Linked DNA regions of Drosophila melanogaster. The protein of the gene in region 1 interacts with the protein of each later gene in a pairwise test. Each region holds a gene or a part of one and is shown on either strand. Other genes may lie near its edges.

Region 1 (5,023 bases):
TCATCGCCTGGGGCGGATTGTTGTGATGCAGCTGCTCCGCCTCGTCGGGTAGAATATTGTGATGTACTGAAGTTGTTGGCAGTTCAGCCAACGTTGGTGGCGGTATAGCTTCGCGATCCTCCAGATTCTCGCCATCCAGCACCACTTCCCGCTGTTCTCGCAACGACGGGGCATTGGTCTCCACGCCGGTTACGACGCGACGAGGTGGCGTCTGTATATTACGCACTTGCTGCTCGCCGTCAGAGGTGTCCTCGCCATCTGCGCGACGTTCTTGCATATGCAGAGCAGCTGCCTGGGCCACATTAAGTGGTGGCTGCTCTGTGGCTCCAGTGACCTGGCGTTGCTGCTGCGAATCCAACTCCGGTTGGCCCAAAACCAGACGAGACAGTCCTGGTGGTGGCAGCAGGCCCGCATCCTGATCCGCTTCACCTTCGCCCAGCTGCTCGGACAGGTGGCTGGTCTGCAAGTACTGGGCCCGTTCGTCATTTGGCGCGGACAAAACCTCCTGATTGTCCGGTTCCAAATGCGCAAAAGCCTGTGGAACAGCCGGTGATGCATAGAGCGATGCGTTAGGTACAGGAATGGGTGCAGGAATAGGTGCACTTAGTGGAGTTCCAAGTGAAGCCTCAACAGGTGGCGCCGCAATTAAGTTGAAACCCTCTCCATGAGCTTCTGCTGGCATACCAAAGAGCTGATCTGCTGGTGGCGGAATTGGTGCTACTGGTGCCACAGGAGCAATTGCAGCAGCAGGAGCTGGAGGCGATGGAGCTCCTGCTGCAGGATCTGCCATTATGTTCACTCGCTTATTTAGGCCCGTGGAACGCTTGAAGGGATTGGAACCAGACGATGGAACTATGCTAGGTGGCAGTGCGGCCGGTGGTGCAATAGTTGTAGCGTCCGCTGGCGGTGCTCCTACTGGTGGTGCTCCCACTGGTGGTGCTCCTACTCCAATGATGGGTGCTGGAGAAGCTCCTACTAAAGCGGAAGGTGCTGGCGAAGCTCCTACTCCTGCAAGATGTGCTGGTGGAGCTCCTATACCGGCGAGATGTGCTGGCGGAGCTACTACTCCAGTGGGAGGTGCTGGTGAAGCTCCTACTCCTGCGCTATGTGCTGAAGATGCTCCAACAGCATAGATTGGCGATCCCACAGCAGTCATTTGTGCAGAGAAGGAAGTCAGTGATGTTGGTGGTGGTGCTGCAGTTGGTGGTTGGTTTTGGAAAGCCTGGGGAGGCACAATGGCATCCAGTTCGGGTTCCTGCCCCAGTTCCGGCGGCGATTGTGGCTGCTGGTGCAGCAAAGGTATCGATTGCTGATTCAATGGCTGTTGTTGCAAGGACGTTGACTGCGGATTGGCTGGTGGCGGCAACTCTCCATTGTTATTGACATTATTGCTAGTGGCAAACGCCTGCCAACTGCCTTGCGAGGATTGAACATTGAAGGAATCCTCCAGCAGTTGTCCGGTTGGCTCTAACAAGCCATCGGTGCCGTTGCTATTATTGTTGTTGCTATTGTCGTTCCAATCGCCCCAATCACCCCAGCCATCGCTCCGGCCGCCACCACCACCTCCTCCGCTATTATTGTTGTCAAACGAGTCCAGAGCTGGTTCCGCTGGAGCCGGGACTTGTGGCTGCTGCTGAGTGGGATAATACAGTTGCTGCTGGATTGTATGTTGCTGCTGCGTAGGCTGTTGCTGCTGTGGTGGCAGTTGCTGCTGCGGTGGCAGTTGCTGCTGCTGCATAGGATGTTGCTGCTGCTGTCCCGGAAAGTAGTTATTGTAGTTCAGGGATTGTGGCTGCTGCTGCTGTTGATGCTGATCCTCTGGCCAATAATTTGGCTGATGTTGCTGGAACATTTGGCTGGCATAGACTTGCTGCTGCTGCTGCTGGGCAGGAAGAGTTTGCTGCTGTTGGGGCATTGCATGTTGCTGCTGTGGAGTAGGATGTTGCTGCGGCGCCTGTTGCTGCTGCTGCTGATGCGGTGGCAGCCAGGGCGCATTATTGTGCAACATTTTGGATCTGAACAAAGAAAAACAAAAGGATGTCAACTTTTTAACTCAAAAATGAATGCCTACTTATTTCTACAGAAATCACGTTAATATCCTGGTAAATCGTCAATTTAAATATCTTTTTAAGGTGTTTTCAGGTCCCTAGAGATATCTTTACCCGCAATTTGAACAGGCTTATTTTCCAAAAGAGATATTCAACCGAAAAAAGGGTTTAAAGGTATGGTATGGTAACGAAAAAACTTAATATTAAAGTGTTCGTTTCTTCGCCCAAGATATTTAAAAGGTTTCTAGGTGTTATAAGGAGTTTTCCGGGGAGATTGCAGGGGGTGGTTGCTGGATTTTGTGGGGCAGTTCAATGAACCAAACCAGTTTTGATGGAAAATTACCCGTTTTCTTGGATTTTCCTTAATGACACTTGGAAACCGTGAAGAGTGATGGAAAATACGCAATCGAATACTGAACAAAATAGAATTTAGGGTATATTATAGAGCTCACAATGAGCGGAAAAGCAAAAGTTAAAAGTTTACGTGGACGTTTGCCATATTTTGCCCCTTCTCCCTCCCACACTCTTCTGGTCTTCTTCTTCGTTTTGTTACCACCGTTTCATTGCTCTCTTACTTTTGTTGTTGTTCTCTTGACGCAGCAGGTTTTTTGTTTTACCTATTTTTTAAGCCGCTGATAATTTGTGCAGTTGATTTTTCGAATCTGACCTTAAATATACTTTTTTCATTTCTTTTTTTTTTATTTTTAAATGTTTTTTTTACCACTTCGCAAGTCAAAAGTGAAAACACTCTCTTGAAAAAAAAAATTGGAGCAGCGGTGAGGGAGAGAAAGAGACAGCACTCTTTTTTCTTTCTCTTGGCGAAAAAGAACCATACGCAGGGTTGCAATCCGGTGTTTTTTTGCGAATTTTGAGCACACAATCGCTTTTACTAGCCACAATAAACTAAAGAAAACACTTTTCAGGTGGCTTTGTCAATTATCTTTTATAAAAATAAAACACAGCCTAATATTACGAGAGAGAGAGAGTAAACACACATTCGCAGGCAGGTAGGTTGCACAAACACACATACAGCTCTCCTTTTTCTCTTCTAATTAGCTTACGCTGCACACTGACTTACACAAATCGCTTGTTTATTTACACGCACTCGGTACGGCACTTTTTTCGGCTGTACTTAACTAAAAATATTATACAAGTTACTGGTTTGCTGACGTTCTTGGGAGTTAAACAATTAAATATGAAATTTTTTCAATCCGAACGCAGCAATGAAATCAAATGCCAACTCGACTTTCGTGGTGTTGCCAGACTGCCAGCAGATAGAGATGACACTAAACAGTTGGATTGGTGTGACAGGACAGTGGTCACTTAAAAAATCATATATTCCTACATTTTAAATATTTTGTATTAATATAAATGTATAAATCTTTTCAATCGATAAATCAATTAAACAAATTAAATCAATTCCACATTTCTTGCTCGTATCCTATAAAACTTATAATTTTTTGCTGCATTGGAAACTAGACTTCGATACTCATTTAAAGTAATAAATGGACAAATGCAAGTTTTTAAAATAAGTCTATTTTTTCTGTTGGTTTTTATTATTGATCTTCAGACTTTTCATGTAGAATCATTATTAAAAGGGGATTCAAAATATTGAACAGGAAAATATCAGCAATGCCCCTTTAACGACTCGCCGAACAATCGATAGCTTACAGTTGCCCATCGCTAGCCATGCCTGTGCGTCTATCGCCAGGTGATGCGTTAACGCTTGCGTATTTTGTTGATATTTGCAAGCCACGCGAGAAGAGATGCTGCGCCTACTCGTGTCCAATTGCGGCAGGAGCAGCGACATATTTAGGTAGAGTAGGGGTCACCATCGCGGGCGAGGTTCTGGGCCGCCGACGCACGAGGATCTGCTACGGCCAGCAGTGAATTGGGGAAACAACGACTCCCCCTCGCCCTCACTCCGGTTATGTCATCAATCAGCCAACCTATTATTAACCGCCTATTTCGCTTTGTTTAGTCGCCACCTGCTGCAGCCCACGCAGCAGCCACTGCCACGCCTCCAGAATGCCGCCCGCCTGATGCGCCAACATTTGCGTGGAACGAACGCTCCCCAACCGCCCGCGATACCGCCCACAAATGCCAGCCGCCTGCTGCAGACGACACGCCTGCTTGTGTGGGGCGGTGGTAGTTTAGCTATCGGTCTGGGCGCCCGTTCCTGGTGGGCGGGGCATCGCGGAGCGATCGTTCATTGCGAAGGCAGCCGGCTGGCCATTCGAAAGGAGGAGGAGGAGGAGGACACTGCGTCGGAGCAGCACTTCGACTGGAAGCGTTTGTGGACCTACTTGGAGCCACATCTCTGGGAGCTGATCGGGGCCGTATGCGTGAGTTCTTGGATCACAAAAAGCCCACGAACAGGTGTAGCATTTGTCAAAATATTTAGCTAATTTCATTTGCAGGCCGCCCTGATAGTGGCTTATATCAACATACGCATCCCAAATCTTCTCGGTGACCTGGTAAACACACTGGCCAGATATGCCAACACGTACGTGATGGATCCGATTAACAACTCGTTCGTAAAGGACGTGAGCAAACCGGCCAGCAATCTGCTGAGCCTATACATGCTGCAATCTGGTTTCACCTTTATGTACATCTACCTGTTGAGCCGCGTCGGTGAGCAGATGGCAGCCAAGATGCGGCAGGATCTGTTCACGCAGATTGTCGTCCAGGACATCGCATTCTTCGATGAGAATCGAACGGGCGAGCTGGTCAATCGACTAACCGCCGATGTACAGGACTTCAAGACCTCGTTCAAGCAGTTCGTCTCCCAGGGACTGCGAAGTGCTGCCCAGCTGATTGGCGGCAGTATATCGCTCTTCATGATTTCACCGCACATGGCCGCCATTGCGCTGGCCAGCGTTCCGTGCGTGGTTATGTTCATGACGTATTTGGGCAAGAAACTGCGCTCTCTAAGCAAAAGCTCACAGGCGCAGGCGGAACGAGCGACGGGTGTC
Region 2 (6,269 bases), 8.8 Mb from region 1:
CAGCAGAAGGGGCTGCGCCCGCGACACGCCTACTCGGTGCTGGACGTGAAGGACATCCAGGGACATCGCCTGCTCAAGCTACGCAATCCGTGGGGTCACTATTCGTGGCGTGGCGATTGGTCGGATGACTCCTCGCTGTGGACGGACGATCTTCGGGATGCTCTGATGCCGCACGGCGCCAGCGAGGGCGTCTTCTGGATCTCGTTCGAGGATGTGCTTAACTACTTCGACTGCATCGATATCTGCAAGGTGCGCTCCGGCTGGAACGAGGTGCGTCTGCAGGGGACATTGCAGCCCCTGTGCTCCATCTCCTGTGTGCTGCTCACCGTGCTGGAGCCGACGGAGGCGGAGTTTACCCTATTCCAGGAGGGGCAGCGCAACTCGGAGAAGTCGCAGCGATCGCAGCTGGACCTGTGCGTTGTGATATTCCGCACCCGGTCTCCGGCGGCGCCGGAAATCGGTCGATTAGTGGAGCACAGCAAGCGTCAGGTGGGTGCTTCCCATAGCCCTGCAAATAGAAACGCTTCTAACAATTGCGTTCCATTTAGGTGCGAGGCTTTGTGGGATGCCACAAGATGCTGGAGCGGGACATTTACCTGCTTGTGTGTCTGGCCTTCAACCATTGGCACACGGGCATCGAGGATCCCCACCAGTATCCTCAATGCATCCTAGCGATACACAGCTCCAAGCGTCTGCTGGTGGAGCAGATAAGTCCCTCGCCGCATCTCCTGGCCGACGCTATCATTAGCCTGACCCTAACCAAGGGACAGCGGCACGAGGGGCGCGAGGGGATGACCGCCTACTATCTGACCAAGGCAAGTGATCCGGTTGCGAAGGGATCTAGGGATTCGGTGGCCTTACTAACTCGACCGCATTTCCTTTACAGGGCTGGGCGGGTCTGGTTGTGATGGTGGAAAATAGACATGAGAATAAGTGGATCCATGTGAAATGTGATTGCCAGGAGAGCTACAATGTGGTGTCGACACGCGGCGAACTCAAGACAGTGGACTCTGTGCCCCCGCTGCAGAGGTGGGCTCCCAATCGACCACCTAAAATATTCCCCCAACTAATTGCTTAACGTGTGCTTAACGCTTTCAGACAAGTAATCATCGTTCTCACCCAACTAGAGGGCAGTGGCGGCTTCAGCATCGCCCACCGGCTGACCCATCGTCTGGCGAATTCCCGCGGCCTGCACGACTGGGGGCCACCCGGCGCCACCCACTGCCCGCCCATCGAGAATGTCCATGGACTGCACGCTCCGCGGCTAATCACCTAGAATGGGATAGGGATAGGGATGGATGGCAGTGACGCAATTTCGATGCTACCCCGCGATATGTCGCTGTTCGAATCCTGATTTGCATGCGTCTCCTCTCAATTCTACCCGTCTTCTAGTCGATGTTCTGTTAACGAATCACACATTACAGCGAAAAACCCAAAGTTGAAACCAATCAGCATGCGAAACAATTCATATATATGTGTATAGAGCCGTGCAGATATGATATATGTATGTGTTTATGCACTAAGGCGTATCGGAAAGTGGGAGCAGATCCCCGGTGGGGATACGGCAGAGCCCAGAAGCCCCAGTCCGGAGTCCTAAGGCTAAGGCTCGGCACGATTCGCTTGAGATCCAATGATCTGTGTTTTGATTAGAGCGGCTATGATTGTGGATTATATAGATATGTATTGTGAATTTAAGTGCATCCAATATTAATATGTGTATTGTTTTAAAAATAAAGACTACAAGTTATAAAAGCCACCAATGTGTAAACAATTTCAAATGTGTACGCGCGAATTGGAAAACGATTCAATCAAAATATACCTTACGATACACAATAGATGGCGCCAGGAGATATTCGACATGGTATCTACATAAGATGTTATCTACTGTCAAAAACGCTACGAACTAAATCGTAAATATAGTCCGGGCTTAAATTTCCGATTAATAAAGTGAAATCATAAAAATATAGTCATGATATAATATAAACCATATAAAACCATAATAATTAAATAACTTATTAAATATGGTTACGTTCAACCAGATTTTCAAAAGAAATACCAGCTTGATCTTGTTCAGACGGTCGTCATTTTTGTTTTGCCGCCGAACTGGTCCCACTGGCAGCAGGATTTGCCAGTTGCGCGCTGCGGTCACACTAGTTGCCCTGCTATTTTGTTCGTCATTACGTTGATTTCTTCGTTCGTTTCGTGTTTTTTTTTAAAATGGCCGATACAAAGGGCGTGAGTAGCCGCTGTTCACTTGTCCAAATGCTAATGGCCAACGGCCAGTCCCCCAACGAACTCGATCCGCCGCCAACTGGGCGTGGCGTGCCATCCACTCCTGGTTGCCAGTGCATCAAATGCCGAATGCGGCGCTCCTGTTGATTTGTTTGCCGCTCATCTCGCCGCGCCAGTTCATCGGACACTCCTCCTGCACCGCCCTTTGTCCACTCGGTGGGAGCGGGCATTGCTGAGCGGGAGTGGAGAAGGAAGTGGAAGTAGAAGTCAAGTGATTCACAACATGCCGGTGGCGTCGGCGTTGTTCCTTTGTTCCCGGGACCTCTGCCGCCCTCGCGAAGCAACTTCGGCCGCCCGTGACCCACATGGCAGTGCATTCTGGTGCACGGAGAAATGAGTGCCGTGCCCATAGTTTGGGCGCCCAAGAGAAAACTGATCCGCGCGTGATGGGCATGCAAATCAAGCCAAGCCATCGCTTTCTAAGACCCAAAACCCTAACTACCAGACATTAGCTCAACCCAACTGAGTTGGGTTACGAGTTAATAAGGCATATGGAATACTTTCAATCACTTGTCCATTTTGGGTCATATCCTTGAACCCATTTCTTAACTCAACTCAACTTTCTCTTCATGAGATGCAAGTTTTTACTATTCCCAAAAGTGTTTTACCGAGAAACATAGTTCCAATTAATTGGTAGATAAATTGATCGACCGCAGATATATGTACAATATTACTATGATTTATCGTCAGTCTGCATTGCATGGTTTTATAGCTTAATCAGCATAGGCTGACCCACTTAATTATTCGCATATGTATTCATATGTATAGAACACAATGCACGGCACATTTAGTTAATATGCAATTCGTTAAGATTATAATTTCCATATGCAAAAAAGTCCACATTTGTTTCGCCTTTAAACGTTCCAGAAATAGTGCTGATATTGAACTGAGTAATTCTTGGTTTTGCAAGCAATGTTTGATTGTTTACCTGTTCTGAAATTAAAGGCATTACCTATCTAGTAGATTCTCAGAAAGTTTCTAATATTAATTATTTTTATTTATATATGAAGCCTAGGACTTTTGGTTCTCTATACTAATGTTATTCACCTATTCTCGTGCAGTTTTCCAGCATCGAGACGCCCGGCTATGTGGGCTTCGCCAACCTGCCCAACCAGGTGCATCGAAAGTCCGTGAAAAAGGGATTCGAGTTCACCCTAATGGTGGTGGGCGAGTCCGGACTGGGCAAGTCCACGCTGGTCAATAGTCTCTTTCTCACCGATCTCTATCCCGAGCGCATTATTCCGGACGCCATAGGTGGGCATAGTCTTTCGTCATCACTCGCTTTGATTACTCATCCAGGAAACCATTCCCCTCTTGCAGAGAAACAAAAGCAAACCGTAAAGCTGGAGGCATCGACGGTGGAGATCGAGGAGCGCGGCGTCAAGCTAAGATTGACGGTGGTGGACACACCCGGATTCGGCGATGCCATCGACAACTCCAACAGCTTTGGTGCCATACTCGAGTACATCGATGAGCAATACGAGCGCTTCCTGCGCGACGAGAGCGGCCTGAACAGACGCAACATTGTGGACAATCGCATTCACTGCTGTTTCTACTTTATATCGCCGTTCGGTCATGGGTGCGTTCCTTTTCCGTTTAACTTTTGAACATTTAATATTAAAAATAAGGAGTTCAAAGCTCAGTAGTGTTGCAAATTGTATAATAGAAAGTATAAACGAAGTATCACATCAATTTTTGTACCCAGCCTAAAACCCCTGGACGTAGAGTTCATGAAGAAGCTGCACTCTAAAGTTAACATTGTGCCCGTGATCGCAAAGGCCGATTGTCTCACAAAGAAGGAGATCCTGCGCCTGAAGTGCCGCATTATGCAGGAGATCGAGAGCCACGGCATCAAGATCTACCCACTGCCAGACTGTGATTCCGATGAGGACGAGGACTACAAGGAGCAGGTGAAGCAACTTAAGGAAGCTGTGCCTTTCGCCGTCTGCGGCGCCAACACACTGCTCGAGGTCAAGGGCAAGAAGGTGCGCGGTCGTCTGTATCCATGGGGCGTGGTCGAGGTAGAGAATCCCGATCACTGCGACTTCATCAAGCTGCGCACGATGCTCATGTAAGTGAAGCAAATATTCCAATATCTGATTGCTTATTAACTAACCACCTATCCCGCTGCCCCACAGCACCCACATGCAGGACCTGCAGGAGGTCACGCAGGAGGTGCACTACGAAAACTACCGCTCCGACCGCCTCGCCAAGGGCATCAAGGGCAAGGAGAACGGCGTGAAGGCCGAGCGGGACAGCAGCTCGCAGGTGGTGTCGAACAGCGTGCTCGGCGAGAAGGACCGCATCCTGCAAGAGAAGGAGGCCGAGCTGCGGCGCATGCAGGAGATGCTCGCCCAGATGCAGGCGCGCATGCAGGCCCAGCAGTGAGCAGGCGGGTATATCTTTTATATACGCGCTTGGCGGAGGCGGCAATCTCTAGTTATACACAAGTCGTATATATACACATATACAAAACATATATTTTGTACGCAGATTTTGGTTGCGATCGCGCTTTAATTCTACTCTCAATTGTGAAACGACGGGCGCTAAGTATTCTGTATTAATTTCGCATTCTCCATATATATATATCCGTAGTATCTAGATATACACACCACATACATTTATACACACATCTAACTTACACCTGCCGCGTATGCAAATGCCTGCAATGCAATTGCTTCATCAGAAAAACAAAGAACATAAGGAACACCAACCATCAGCGAACTCATATCACTTCTATCAAGCGAAACCACACACGAAAACAATTGTATTCCTATTATGTATTTAGACGCGATTAACAATGAATTATTATTGTAATACGCATCTAGGCTAAGCGAATCCAATCCGATTTATATTGTATGTTAATTCATTTTTGTCTGTTTACCTTACCCTTATCTGTGTTGTCTCAAAGCGAGCAATTTATTTAGGTTATACTATATGTTGCGTGTCAGCCTGCCCTTCCGATCCTTCTTGACCTCCATGGTCCGCTGTCCTGCAGTGCCGCCCGATTCCTAAGCACGATCTGATTGAATAAACAGTGATCCCTTCCTAGGCGGTCCCGGGAACCCATGGCCAGTTGCGGAAACTCGGTTTAGCAGGCTACTCGCTTAAAAGTGCACTCCTTTAACGGATGAAACAAAAACCAAAATGTGAAATCTCTTTTATTATGTATATGAAGACTTTTTTAACTCAATATAATCCTCTATGAATATATAAATATGCTTTTTATACAATTTGTAAGCCAGACCGTCTTATGCATTTTCTTGTAGTCTCCCATTTACTCAAAGTGTAAGGGGGCATACTATTTGTATTCTTGAGGAGATCACTAGCCGACTCCATCCAGTTACATATGTATGTACATATATGTACGTCTGTCCGTATGAGCGTCAATATCTCGGAAACTTTAACAAGCCGAATGTTCCAACTGCCAAGCCCATTTGTTTGTTTGATAAGTTTACTTTTGTTGTATTTCAATAACAATAGTTAGGCATTCATATCCTTTAGATACATTTGCAGTTGTGTTCGCCTGATGCCTGGCAAAATCTTAACCTTTTAGACACTTTTCACAACTGCTTGTCTTGCTTTTTTAGAGCGAAACCAAAATGCTCATTCAACGTATGCATTCGAAAACACAAGCAAGCACAAGAGTAACATTGCGAGATTTCACTATCAGCTTTTCCAATCACATTGGCATTATTGTTAGTAGAACAAAAGTTTTACTTGTACATATTTGTCAAGCGTTCGTCGAAAGAGCTTAAGGATCCTCACAACCTCAAGTATCCCTAGTTCAACCCATACTTGAGTATTGTCCGTGTGTATGGTCTCCTCAACACGTCTAGCATCAAGGTCTTGTGGAATCGGTACAGGGACACAGCCAGGATAATCCCTACCATCCCATCAATCATTCTCATGAAAAGAAGACTTATTTTTTCGAGACGAAAACGATCTCTATGTTGGATACATATTTTAGACGGAAG
Region 3 (4,204 bases), on another chromosome or scaffold:
TCAAACGAATCTCCCATTTGATGACCCACCTGTCCAGCAATATTCATAAACGCAAAGAAGAGAAACTCACGGAGCTAGCCATTGAACAATGAAGCTGCCTATCTAGCCATTACACTAATTAGCTATCGGTAAGAATTCTAAAATTCCGCGTCCTTTTCTTTAACAAGGTAGACGTACATTTAAGTACAGGTATTCGCATAAATCCATTTTATGCGAATATCTAGCATATTTGGTTTTACTTTTTGTTTCCCTAAGGAATAGAAGAAGAGCCGCATCCCTCCCGACTTCCAAACGTTTTTAGATTTTGATGTAAAACGTTACAAGTTATAAACCTAAAAAAACAAAACATATTTACTTGTCCAAAAAAAGAAGATTTAATTAATCCTGTGCCATTCGATTATTATTCCATGTTGTAGCTTCCACAAACGGTAACAAAGTCTTCGACAGAGCACAAAGAAAAGAAACAATAAAAAACGCACACTCATTTAATGGCCAAAATGATGTTAAAACTACCAAATAAACGCACAAAATCAAAGATTGTAATCGTGTTCCAATTTTTTTCTCGAATATATGGACGTAATAAAAAACATTACAAAAAATATTTGTGTTTTTGAACAAGTTCTTTAACCAAATAGTAATAAATCAAATCCGATTATTTTACACATCCGGTCTGACCATTTGTACTCTTTTTTATTTTACAATTTTTATATATAATTAAATGTACATTAATGAATTATCTAACAGAAATTGTATTGCATTGTTTTCGACTAATAGCGCCCCGTCCGTTCGTTTTTGTGGTGTATTACAGTCTGTTGGTGGGTCATGGTGCCCAAATGCTGATCCAACTGGTGCTTGCGGGAAAAGGTCTTATTGCAGACTCGACAGCTGAAAAATTAAAGGGAATTTAGGGTTATACATGATTAAAGCAGTCAATGGACCTACAGAAAAGGCTTCTCGCCCGTGTGGGTGAGCATATGGTTTTTTAGCACGTTAGAGTAGGAGAATGCCTTGCCGCATGTGGAGCAAGTGAAAGGTCGCTCGTTTGTGTGTGTTCTGCAAAAGGAACAAGTATAGTTTATATGAAGATTACTATGAGGAATTGCATCTTCACCTTTCATGACGAATATTGGAGCTGCGATCCGCAAACGAGCGGTTGCAATATTTACACAAGAATGGTTTCTCGCCCGTGTGAACGCGGATATGGCGATTTAGCTCGGATGGACCCGCGAAGGATTTGCTGCATATTCTGTAAGCGGAATAAGATTTACATAATATAAAATGGTTCAGATGATAATTTCAGATACTCACTCGCATTTAAATGGTTTCTCGGCCATATGACGACGCATATGAATGTTGAGAGCGGCTCGCTTGGAGTAGATATTGCCGCAGATTTCGCACATAATGTTCGTGGAGGATACTTCGGGAGATGATTTGAAGCTAGCTTGAACAGGCGGACGCTCCTCGCTAAAACTGCGTGGGTGTCCGGAGCTAGCACCGCGAGGTCGGCCACGTCCACGTTTAGTCATCCGCGTTTTACGCACCTTAGCTTTGCGGCAGCGCTCGATGGGCTGGTAGTCGCTATCGGTGCTATTCGGCACCAGCAAGTCATCCTCGTCCAGGTCGTCCACTACAGTGCTAGTCTCGTAGGCCTGCGACGTTTCCCCGACACCATCCTCCAGGGGCTCCTCCATGATGTTCTCCATTCCGATGTCATCCTCGACACCGTCGATGAAGTCGTTGGCCGATTCGTAGATGTACTCAATGTTGTCAGCCACTACGTGCGGCACCTCGTCCGTTGGCTCCGACTTCATCTCGGCCTGACATGGTACCGGGTCAAGTGGGATGTTTATATGTGGCCCATCAACTCTATACGTACCTTGACTACATTGGTGGCAAATGTGCGCTCGCTCTCCTGGCAAAGCTCCCGGAACTTGTGGGCACTGGTCAGTCGCTCCACGCAGCTGTAGCACAACATACTGGGGATGTTCTGCAGCGGCACCAGCTGAAAGCACAGAGTGGGTTAAGTCGCAGGATTTTACATTTGCATCCACATGTACCTTTATGCTGCCCACTTCTTCAATCTTGCGCACCAGCTCCCGGCACTGGGCGTCGTTGTCATCGAACAGGGGCGCCATCGCCTCCGAGTTGATGTCCTCTGTCAAGCAGATTCGGCACAACATGTACTCGGGCATTATCTTGCACGTCCTGGACGTACGTATGCTTGCAATTCTGAAATAAACAAGCGTCTTGGAACTTTTCCCAGGGTTGTCATGTACGCAAAACGATAAATGGCTATCGAACTTGCTATCGGCATATCGATTGAATAATTGATAATAATTAAATCTTAATTTTTTTTTTTAAACTAACAGGTGGGCCCTATTAAATATTTAAGCTTGAGTCACGCAATAAAAATACAGTTTTAGAACTAAATGCAAAAAAATTTGGAATGATAGTTGAAAACTGTTACTAATTCCGCGTACCTGACAACCCTTTTACTTTTAATTCACTGCTCTGGCATTTGAATCGGCATTTGACGCGAAAGAGGGACTTCCTGCGGAAATAACGATGGAAATCAGCATTAAATGGAGCATGTGCCGCACTTGCCGCAAAAAAGGAACGCAATCCACGCTGCAGTCGCTCTTCGAGTCCAATGCCCACAAGCTGTTGATCTCGTATGCCGGCACATCTGTGAGTACTCGATTTCTGTTTGGCTTCCAGTTTACCAGTTACAAATCCTCTCTCCTAGGTGAAACCGGATGATGGACTGCCGGATCAAATTTGCACAGTCTGCTTGATGCAACTGGAGGAGGTGGACAGATTTCTTAGCGCGTGCAAACAATCCGACGCGCACCTGAGAAGCCTCGTTCGTCAAACTCTGTCCTCCGCATCGGCATTTGAGACGCTGGAGGATAAGGACCAGCTTGAACAGAAAAAACGCGCCAGGAAGCAGAACATTTCGGGGAGACTCATCGAAGAGAATCCTATTAACTTTAAGACTCAAGAGAATGCATTGGAAACGACCAAAGATGATGAAATCTTACCCATAAATAAATTTTCAAGCGATTTCGTGTTCGATCTCAACGTGAATGCGGAAAACGAGAAAGACATACACCAGGAGGACTATACCATCAGTGATATGGATTTGGACAGGGAGATCTCCGATCAAAATTACTCCGAAACGTATTCGCAAGAAAGCAGCGCTGCTACGGACAGTATTCAAGAGACAAGCGAGGATTACCATAATCTAGAGCCAAGTGCCGACTACGTGATAGATCTAGGAGTGGCCTGCGAGCCGGACAAGTACAGATGCAAGATCTGCAGCAATACATACCGCTGCTTATCTCAGCTAAATGCACACTCGCAGGTGCACCGCAAGGAAAAGGACCACCAGTGCGAGTAAGTATCCGTGATATATCTTAACATAATATTTCATATATAAAATGTATGATTCAGGGTTTGCCAAAAGACATTCAGAGCCGCCTGCAACCTGAAAACACACATGCGGACGCACACGGGCGAGAAACCTTACCAATGTTGCTACTGTTCGCGCCGTTTTGCCGACAACAGCACTCATCGCAAGCACGAACGGTAGAATGGACAAAAACTATATATATTGTGTACAGCATTTAAGTTCCAATGTTGAATTTCTTCATTTCAGTTTGCACACGAATGAAAGACCCTATGCTTGCAACATATGTGGAAAAACATTCTCTCTGTCCTCCTCTCGTAACGCTCACTACTACCTGCATTCGTCTGAAAAGTCTCACAAGTGTCTTATGTGTAAAAAAGAATTTCGGCTTAAGCACCAACTTACAGCGCACGAGAAGTCTCTTGCGCACCGTCTGATAGCTAAGGAGTACAGCGACGTGGTAGAATAGTTAATAAAAATAGCTGGTCTATTCTGGAAAAGTGGCTTTATACTACTTATAATAGATAACCCTAGTTCCTCAATTAATTTACTATATTAGCTCTCTAACATTTCCGGAGAGCTGGGAATGGTTTGCTCCATTTTGTTGCGGTGGGTTAGCGTTTGCAGGTGAGCTTTCAGCTGGTGCAGCAGAGTGAATGACTTGCAACAGATACCACAGCTGAAAAGTTCAAATTATTAATAAAAAGTGCAAATCACTAGAAAGGATTACTCTCCCTTACTTGTAATTCTTTTGGGCGGAGTGCGAAAGGATGTGATTTTTGAGGATGGCTGTGT
Region 4 (6,981 bases), on another chromosome or scaffold:
GGGCAGAGAACCGGATTCAATGCTTGCTAGGATGTTCCTGCAAAATGGCAGCATGAAGCCCAGCGAGCGTGACGAGCAGGGAGCATACCTGATTGATCGAAGTCCTCGATATTTCGAGCCGATCATCAACTACCTCCGCCACGGACAATTCGTATGCGATTCGAACATCAGTGTGTTGGGTGTTTTGGAGGAGGCGCGGTTCTTCGGAATCTTTTCGCTTGTCACCCATTTGGAGGAACGCCTGGGACAGCAGGAGACGCCGCTGGGGGACAGACCATTGACGCGCAACGACGTCATCAAGGCCATCATTCAGACCTCCGTGATAACGGAGCTGCGCTTTCAAGGCGTTAATCTGTCTGGGGCCGATCTACGAAAGCTAGATTTTCGCAACATTAACTTCAAGGTGTGCGCAAACGAATTTCATTTCAATGCATACATTGTGTAATACAACATTTTAAGTCTTTCCAACGCCGTAACACGACTGCATTTTAATATTATTGTAGTTTGCTACGCAGTAAAGGAGATATTTTCGTCCGGAAAAAAATGGAAAATTATTGGTGGAGATCTATCAAGTTGAAGACAATAATTATACTAAAGACTATCCCTTTTCCTTCACAGTATGCCAACATGTCTCACTGCAATTTGTCCCACACCAATCTTAACTACTGCTGTCTTGAACGGGCGGATCTTCAGTACGCAAACTTGGAATGTGCCCAACTAGTGTCAGTGCGGGGACTTTGCGCCAATATGGTAAGCACAGGTTTAACAGAAAACGCTATTAAATAATCACATCATTTGTGAAACTAGTTGTAACAGATTTACGCCATCCAATTAGCTAAGAAAACTAATCTGCCTAATCTTTCAGGAAGGTGCAAACTTGCGTGGGTGTAATTTTGAAGACCCAACAGGAGTTCGAACTAATCTAGAGGGTGTTAACCTCAAAGGAGCATGTTTGGAAAGCAGCAACATGGCCGGTGTTAACTTACGTGTGGCAAATTTGAAGAACGCCAATATGAAGAACTGTAATTTGCGAGCTGCGGTGTTAGCAGGTGCCGACTTGGAAAAATGCAATCTTTCTGGCAGCGACTTGCAGGAGGCAAATTTGCGTGGGGCAAATTTAAAGGACGCGGAGCTTACCCTAATGGTGACCCCATTGCACATGTCACAGGCCATACGATGATATCTTGGTTGGCACCTATCACTAATATTACTGTTATTGACTGTACATACTTAAAAGTTTAATAGTAGGTTATAAAATAAACAGTATTAGGATTGAATTTCTAAAGTCGTGTGTATTATTCTTATTCCTTACTCGTAGAGTAAAAAAGTATACTAGATTCGTACTAGAAAAGTATGTAACAGGCAGATAGCAGCGTTTCCGACTATATAAGGGATATATATTATATATAATCCGGATCAATAGCCGAGTCTATCCGTCTGTCCGTATAAACGTCGTGATCTCAGGAACTATAAAATCTAGAGGTTGGGATTAAGCATACAGATTTTAGAGACGCGGCTCACGTTTGTTGACCCATGCTGCCATGCCCATTCTAATGCCCACAAACCGCACAAAACTGTGACGCCCACACTTTTAAAAAATGTGTTGATATTGTTTCATAATTTAATTAGTCTTGAAATTTTCTATCGATTTGCCAAGAAACTTTTTACCACACCCATTCTAACGCCCTAAAAACGCATTCCCACTGGCTGAGTAACGGGTATCTGATAGTCGGGGAACTTGACTATAGCGTTCCCTCTTGTTTTTTTTAATGAAATTTCGCGTTCGCATTCACACTAGCTGAGTAACGGGTATCTGATAGTCGGGGATTTCGACTATAGCATTCCATCTTGTTTTTTTTGTTTATTACATAGTCTTAGTCGCATCACTAAAGATTCTTTTATATTTTTATATAAAACATTCCTTAGGGACCTTGCAGAAGAGTTACATTTAGAAAATCCTAAGCCGGGGCAGGAGCCTGTGTTAATTATAGTTTATCCTTCGATTCCTTTATCTACAAGAAACATAAATAAAGAAAATAATATAAAATTTATCTATTTTTAGTTTTTAATACCTTATTCGCAGTGATCACAGCTTACAATTTTACCGAACTATCTGGGTGGTACTCGATGTTTATTAAAATAATATATAACAATTGAAGCGAAAAAAGATGATGGACTTGCATGTAGATCTAATGTATATTGTCGGTGGCGTGTATAAGCTCAGATGTATAACTTTTATTATATTTTTAGCTAGAACCATCGCAAGCAACTCTATACGAAATGTATCGATGTATCGCATCGGCGATGTTTTTTTACGTCACCAGAGAAACGTCAATTTTCAAACGTGGTTTGTTGGAAGCCAGCGGAGAACGGTAGACGTTGCTTGTGAACTGTGAACTGTGTAGCCGTAGCCTGAGCCGGTAAAAAATTGTGAGCAGAACTAAAACACAATTGGCGAGCGATTCGATGGAGGACCAAAGCAACGCAGCCCCCGCTGTCGCCGCGGAGAACGGCGGAAACACCGCGCAGGAGGTGTCTTCGACAAGTAAGTGGCCTGCCCTACTACCCCGCCCGCTCGCCGACGAAAATTGCGTGTAATTCTCGCGAGTGCTGGTGATTCCATAAATGTTTTGCGCCGCGCCGCGCCTTGCTCGCTGGGCATCCAAAGTGAATACCCATGTTCCAGAGGGGCAGGTGCCCGATTCAGCCATTTTCTAGGTGCCAGTGTAGAAGCGGAAGATTGTCGAATTCCGCCATATTTATTTCTAGGAGACCCTAGCTGTAAATAAGAGTTGCCGAAACGCCGAAGTTGCTTGTTGTTGACACTAATTACGTCATCTTTGCGCGCATTCTTCCCACAATTACAAAAAGTGAAATGAATCATTTTCGGTGCTCTTGGCCGATTTCGATTTCGAGATTCTGTGCTCGCAGTGTCAATTCACCCGCTCGCTTGCGCCCCGCGCTGCCCGACACCACTACACGCTCGCGGCACTGCTCATACGAATACATATTAATTGAGAAATTCGCGAGTCGATGCGCTCATCGCCCAGAAATGTGTGCGTGCGAGTGTGTGCGTGTCGAAGCGTTGCCAACTTATTGGTCATGCGTTAATATCGGGATATGGGTTCTTAATTTGTATTTCTCATTGAACCCGCCAAGAAAGACGGCCGAAATAGTTTTAGCGGCCAATTCATACTTCAGTTTCAATTCAACAAGCGCACACACATGCATGTTGACGTGTGTTCTTTAACCAGCACAGGTGGCAACCCTGCCGTCCCGATTTTGCATGCAGATTTTTGTTTTCAATGATACGGGCCGGCGTTTGCTGGTGTATGTTTGGGTCACTTTCACATCTGATTACTGGGCGTGGAAACCGGTATATCAGCCGCGGTATCACTTTTAGTCCAGCGCCAACTAGCGTGATAACACGCGTTCATTACAGACGATAAGGGCAGCGGCTGTGTTGCTATTCAGCACATTTGATTCGCACTTTTACAGTCAACCTCCCCTAACAAAAACTAACATGTCCGAGAAGTTGGGGAATCGCTTGGGTCCGCACGTTATCATACCTACAGATCAGCTCTGGAATGGAATGTGGCTTGATTTAATGAAGGCTAGCTATCACTAACACAAATACAAATGAGCTCACCGCTGCAATAAACTAAAATATGTTTCTTTTAGTCATCTGTTTATGTTATTGGAGCATATTATTGTAACAAACATGTCGTTACAGCTCAGCCCATAGAGCCCACAAAGCGCTCGCTGCGCGTGCAGACCTGGAAAAAGATCCAAGAGGGCAAGGTTGGCATTGGATTCAACAACATATTTAACCGAATTCCTTCGTTCGTGGGTGCCGATAAGGCTGCTGCCTTGTTTGCCAATGAAGAGGAGTTCAAGAAAGCACGTAAGGGAGTACCACAGCCCCGTTTTCAGTGCACCAATTATCACTCTTTCCCGTATTGCAGAGCACATCAAGGTGAACATCGATCGCGTCTTGCATGAGTTTAAGGAACTGGCATTGCTGGCCGACAAGTCCGTATACTTGCCCAGCACCCGCGAATCTTCTGCACTGTGCCTAAAGGTAGATGTGCTGGCCGATGCCACCGAGGAGCAGAAAAAGGAGGCTCTGCGCGTTCAAGATATTCAAAAGTTTCGCTCGGAAATTGGATTGGACAGCGGTCTGAAGCTGGACATCGTGGTTATTGGCTCTGTTGTAGTGTCACGCGAGGGTTACCGCATTGGACGCGGAAATGGTTTCGCTGATCTGGACATCGGCCTCCTTATTGAACTGGGAGCCATTACACCGAAGACAATTATTGTCACAATCGTGCACGACATGCAGGTGGTGGACTCACTGCCCCCGAATCTATTCCAGAAGTACGATACGCCAGTTGATATCATTGCAACACCCACAGAAATAATCAGGGTGCCAAAGCGCTTGTCTTTCCCCAATGGCGTTTACTGGGAGCTGCTGTCCGAGCGCCGTCTAAAAATATTGCCCGTGCTGCAGCAGCTTAAGGAAAGGGAGGAGAAGGCGGGAAAATCCATATCCCTCAAGGAGGAAGACACCGATGTGGAGCAACATCAAAACAACAGACGCCGCCGTGGGCCTGTGCGCCGGCGCATCCAACGAGGAAACCCAGGTCGCACCACTTCGCAGACTGACAACGAACAGCCGCAGGGCGTAAGTCGAATCCACCACACTGTCGGCACTATTGAGTAACTTTTAACTCTGCATTTTTAGGAGACTGCTCAGAAACGCACTCCGCGGCGCAAAGGTCGTTTCGTCAATCGCCGCAGACGTACAACTAAGGTAAGTAGCTTAAATATGACAGCCGAAGCCAGCCTAATCAACGTAATTTTAGTCTGAGGGCGATCAGTCTGGTGTGGAAGCAGGTGCTAAAACTGATGATCGTAAGTTACCAGAGGCTGGCACTGATGAGCGTCGTTCAAAGAAGAACAAGAACAGTGATTTTTGCATTAAGTTGACAAATCTGTCTCGTGATATTCGCGTCAAGGACTTAAAGTCGGAGCTCCGCAAACGCGAATGCACTCCGATGTCAATTTCTTGGAAGGGTATGTCACTTATATTTGGTTTAAAAGCTCTACGCTAACTATACCTTCTCTTTAGGACACTTCGGAAAGTGTTTCCTGCACTTTGGAAACCGCAAGGGGGTTCCCAGTACCCAGGACGACATGGACAAGGTGTTGAAGTCTCTCAACGATCTCTCGCTCACCATTACCACTGGTGGCGAGACAGCCCCAGCTGCCGCCGCAGGGGAGGGCGGTGAGAAAGCAGAGTCAGCTGAGACTGCAACGCCTGTGCAGACCAAGACTATTCTCGTCAACGTAGAACTGATCCAATTTGGCGAGAAGAAAAGTGCTAGCTCCACTGGTGCCAATGCCGGTGCAGGCGAGGATGGAAAAGCAGACGCGCAAAACGGAGGGGAGGCCGTAACTGTGGCAGGAGGCGACGTGGGTGGTGCACGCATCGAAGCTGTCGACACCACCACAGTATAGTATGACTTTGCGCTTGGCGCAGCCAATGAACGGTCGCGGCGGACTTCCGCCGACAGCGCAATGTTTGGAGTTCAACGAAAAAAAGTAACATTTTGTTTAGAAAAAATCGGGAAATACCAAACAAAAAACAAATAGAAAGCGAACTCCGAACAAACACAAAGTACACTCAAAATACACACTCACTAAATACACGCTGGCAATTACACTTGTGCATACACTGAATATCATGTTTTGCAGCTTGTAGTTTCTTCTTCTCCGTCATTATTCTAACCAACAAGAAAATCAAACGCAACTCTTTCTAACGAGAACACAAATCATTGACGCTTTTTCTAAACAATTGCATTTGTTTTTTGCCTAAGAAAATTAAAACGATTGCAGAAATACTCGTTCCACAAATGCAAAGTGGAACACCATTTCTTCTAAATAATCCTTTTACTAACTTCTTGTGACTTGTTACAATTCTGAATTAGAACTTCTGAATATTTGTTAATTTGATTTCACACCTCAGCAATAAGATCGTTTTGCTGTATCTCTGTTAAGCAGTTGAGCTGCTAGTAATAGGGCTTGAAGTTGAGTGCGTTGAAGTTGAAGTAATGTTCTAAAATGTAATACTAATAGGAATGCCCTATAAATGAGAAATACCGCGAGTAAGAAAAAATGAATTAACAAAATATTTACATGTTGCATTTGGTTAGTCTTTTCCAACTTTCACCGCAAACATCAATAAATTTAATAATATTTTTAACAGAAGAACAAGAAATGTGTGAAAGCAAGAATTATACAATGCAGAACATAATTATACAAGGCAGAACATAATTATTTACCCTTTTTTTATACACAAAAGGCATTACAAAAAAAAAATATGAAACATGAATGAAATATAACTTGAAATAAAAATTAAAAAAATCGTAAAAATAAACTTGACCGAAAATTACCCGTTTATTTTGCTTTTAGACTTAAATCTAATATGTACAAAGGTAGCTTAGACCTATTTTATTTAAAAGTTATAAAATGTCATAGTTCTGTATATAATATGCGCATGTACACAAAATGAAGTTTACAGGAGTTCGAAAAATAGGTTCTGGTCTTTATGGATGGATGGCTGACAAGTCATCGTTGCGCAAGTGGGTCTGGTTCTTGTGCAGTTTGAAACCTGTTGCTTATCAACCGCGTCCTAGGTTTTATTTTTGAAACGGACTCTGCGGCATGTCAAGTCTGCTGCCAGCCGATTCTTTAATCTGCGGTGAAGGAGTGCGATCAATGAACTCAATACTCTCGCCCTTTAACTGGGCGACTGCGGATGATGCGGTCGCACAGTCGCCGTCGTGCACAACGCAGGCGGCGGGTTTCTCTTGGATGGGGGCCAAGCTGTTCACGATGGAGTTGGCCATGGCCAGTTCCAGTTCGCGCTGCCAGTCGTTTTCCTTTTGTTCCATGGCTTTGCGCTTCAACTCCTTGTAG

What was found.
Region 2: the proteins of Sec16 (region 1) and Septin1 interact in a two-hybrid assay, tested with the Drosophila melanogaster proteins (one large-scale study listed by BioGRID).
Region 3: the proteins of Sec16 (region 1) and CG14711 interact in a two-hybrid assay, tested with the Drosophila melanogaster proteins (one large-scale study listed by BioGRID).
Region 4: the proteins of Sec16 (region 1) and lost interact in a two-hybrid assay, tested with the Drosophila melanogaster proteins (one large-scale study listed by BioGRID).

The regions. Positions count from the first base shown.
Region 1 is NC_004354.4:12,594,338-12,599,360, reverse strand, and holds the start of Sec16 (secretory 16), read right to left. Parts: upstream 3,315-5,023; 5' UTR 3,127-3,314; intron 2,686-3,126; exon of another isoform or gene 2,624-2,685; intron 2,461-2,623; exon of another isoform or gene 2,392-2,460; intron 2,016-2,391; 5' UTR 2,009-2,015; coding exon 1-2,008. Other genes in the region: CG1824 (uncharacterized protein), read left to right, coding at 3,815-3,864, 4,030-4,393, 4,469-5,023.
Region 2 is NC_004354.4:21,356,159-21,362,427, forward strand, and holds Septin1 (septin 1), read left to right. Parts: upstream 1-2,127; 5' UTR 2,128-2,217; coding exon 2,218-2,235; intron 2,236-3,353; coding exon 3,354-3,546; intron 3,547-3,612; coding exon 3,613-3,871; intron 3,872-3,997; coding exon 3,998-4,363; intron 4,364-4,430; coding exon 4,431-4,680; 3' UTR 4,681-5,530; downstream 5,531-6,269. Other genes in the region: sol (small optic lobes), read left to right, coding at 1-489, 549-815, 887-1,029, 1,099-1,276. UniProt on the Drosophila melanogaster protein: Involved in cytokinesis. May be involved in p53-dependent apoptosis.
Region 3 is NT_033777.3:11,621,399-11,625,602, reverse strand, and holds CG14711 (uncharacterized protein), read right to left. Parts: upstream 2,265-4,204; 5' UTR 2,193-2,264; coding exon 2,058-2,192; exon of another isoform or gene 2,003-2,057; coding exon 1,877-2,002; exon of another isoform or gene 1,818-1,876; coding exon 1,309-1,817; exon of another isoform or gene 1,301-1,308; intron 1,249-1,300; exon of another isoform or gene 1,247-1,248; coding exon 1,112-1,246; exon of another isoform or gene 1,054-1,111; coding exon 943-1,053; exon of another isoform or gene 886-942; coding exon 768-885; 3' UTR 655-767; downstream 1-654. Other genes in the region: CG6813 (uncharacterized protein), read left to right, coding at 1-92; Zaf1 (ZAD and architectural function 1), read left to right, coding at 2,566-2,688, 2,747-3,396, 3,454-3,588, 3,659-3,878; CG14710 (uncharacterized protein), read right to left, coding at 3,965-4,088, 4,150-4,204.
Region 4 is NT_033777.3:4,400,736-4,407,716, forward strand, and holds lost (lost), read left to right. Parts: upstream 1-2,340; 5' UTR 2,341-2,466; coding exon 2,467-2,545; intron 2,546-3,733; coding exon 3,734-3,904; intron 3,905-3,965; coding exon 3,966-4,684; intron 4,685-4,744; coding exon 4,745-4,813; intron 4,814-4,865; coding exon 4,866-5,076; intron 5,077-5,131; coding exon 5,132-5,520; 3' UTR 5,521-6,447; downstream 6,448-6,981. Other genes in the region: CG14647 (uncharacterized protein), read left to right, coding at 1-403, 619-750, 866-1,180; CG32944 (uncharacterized protein), read right to left, coding at 6,702-6,981.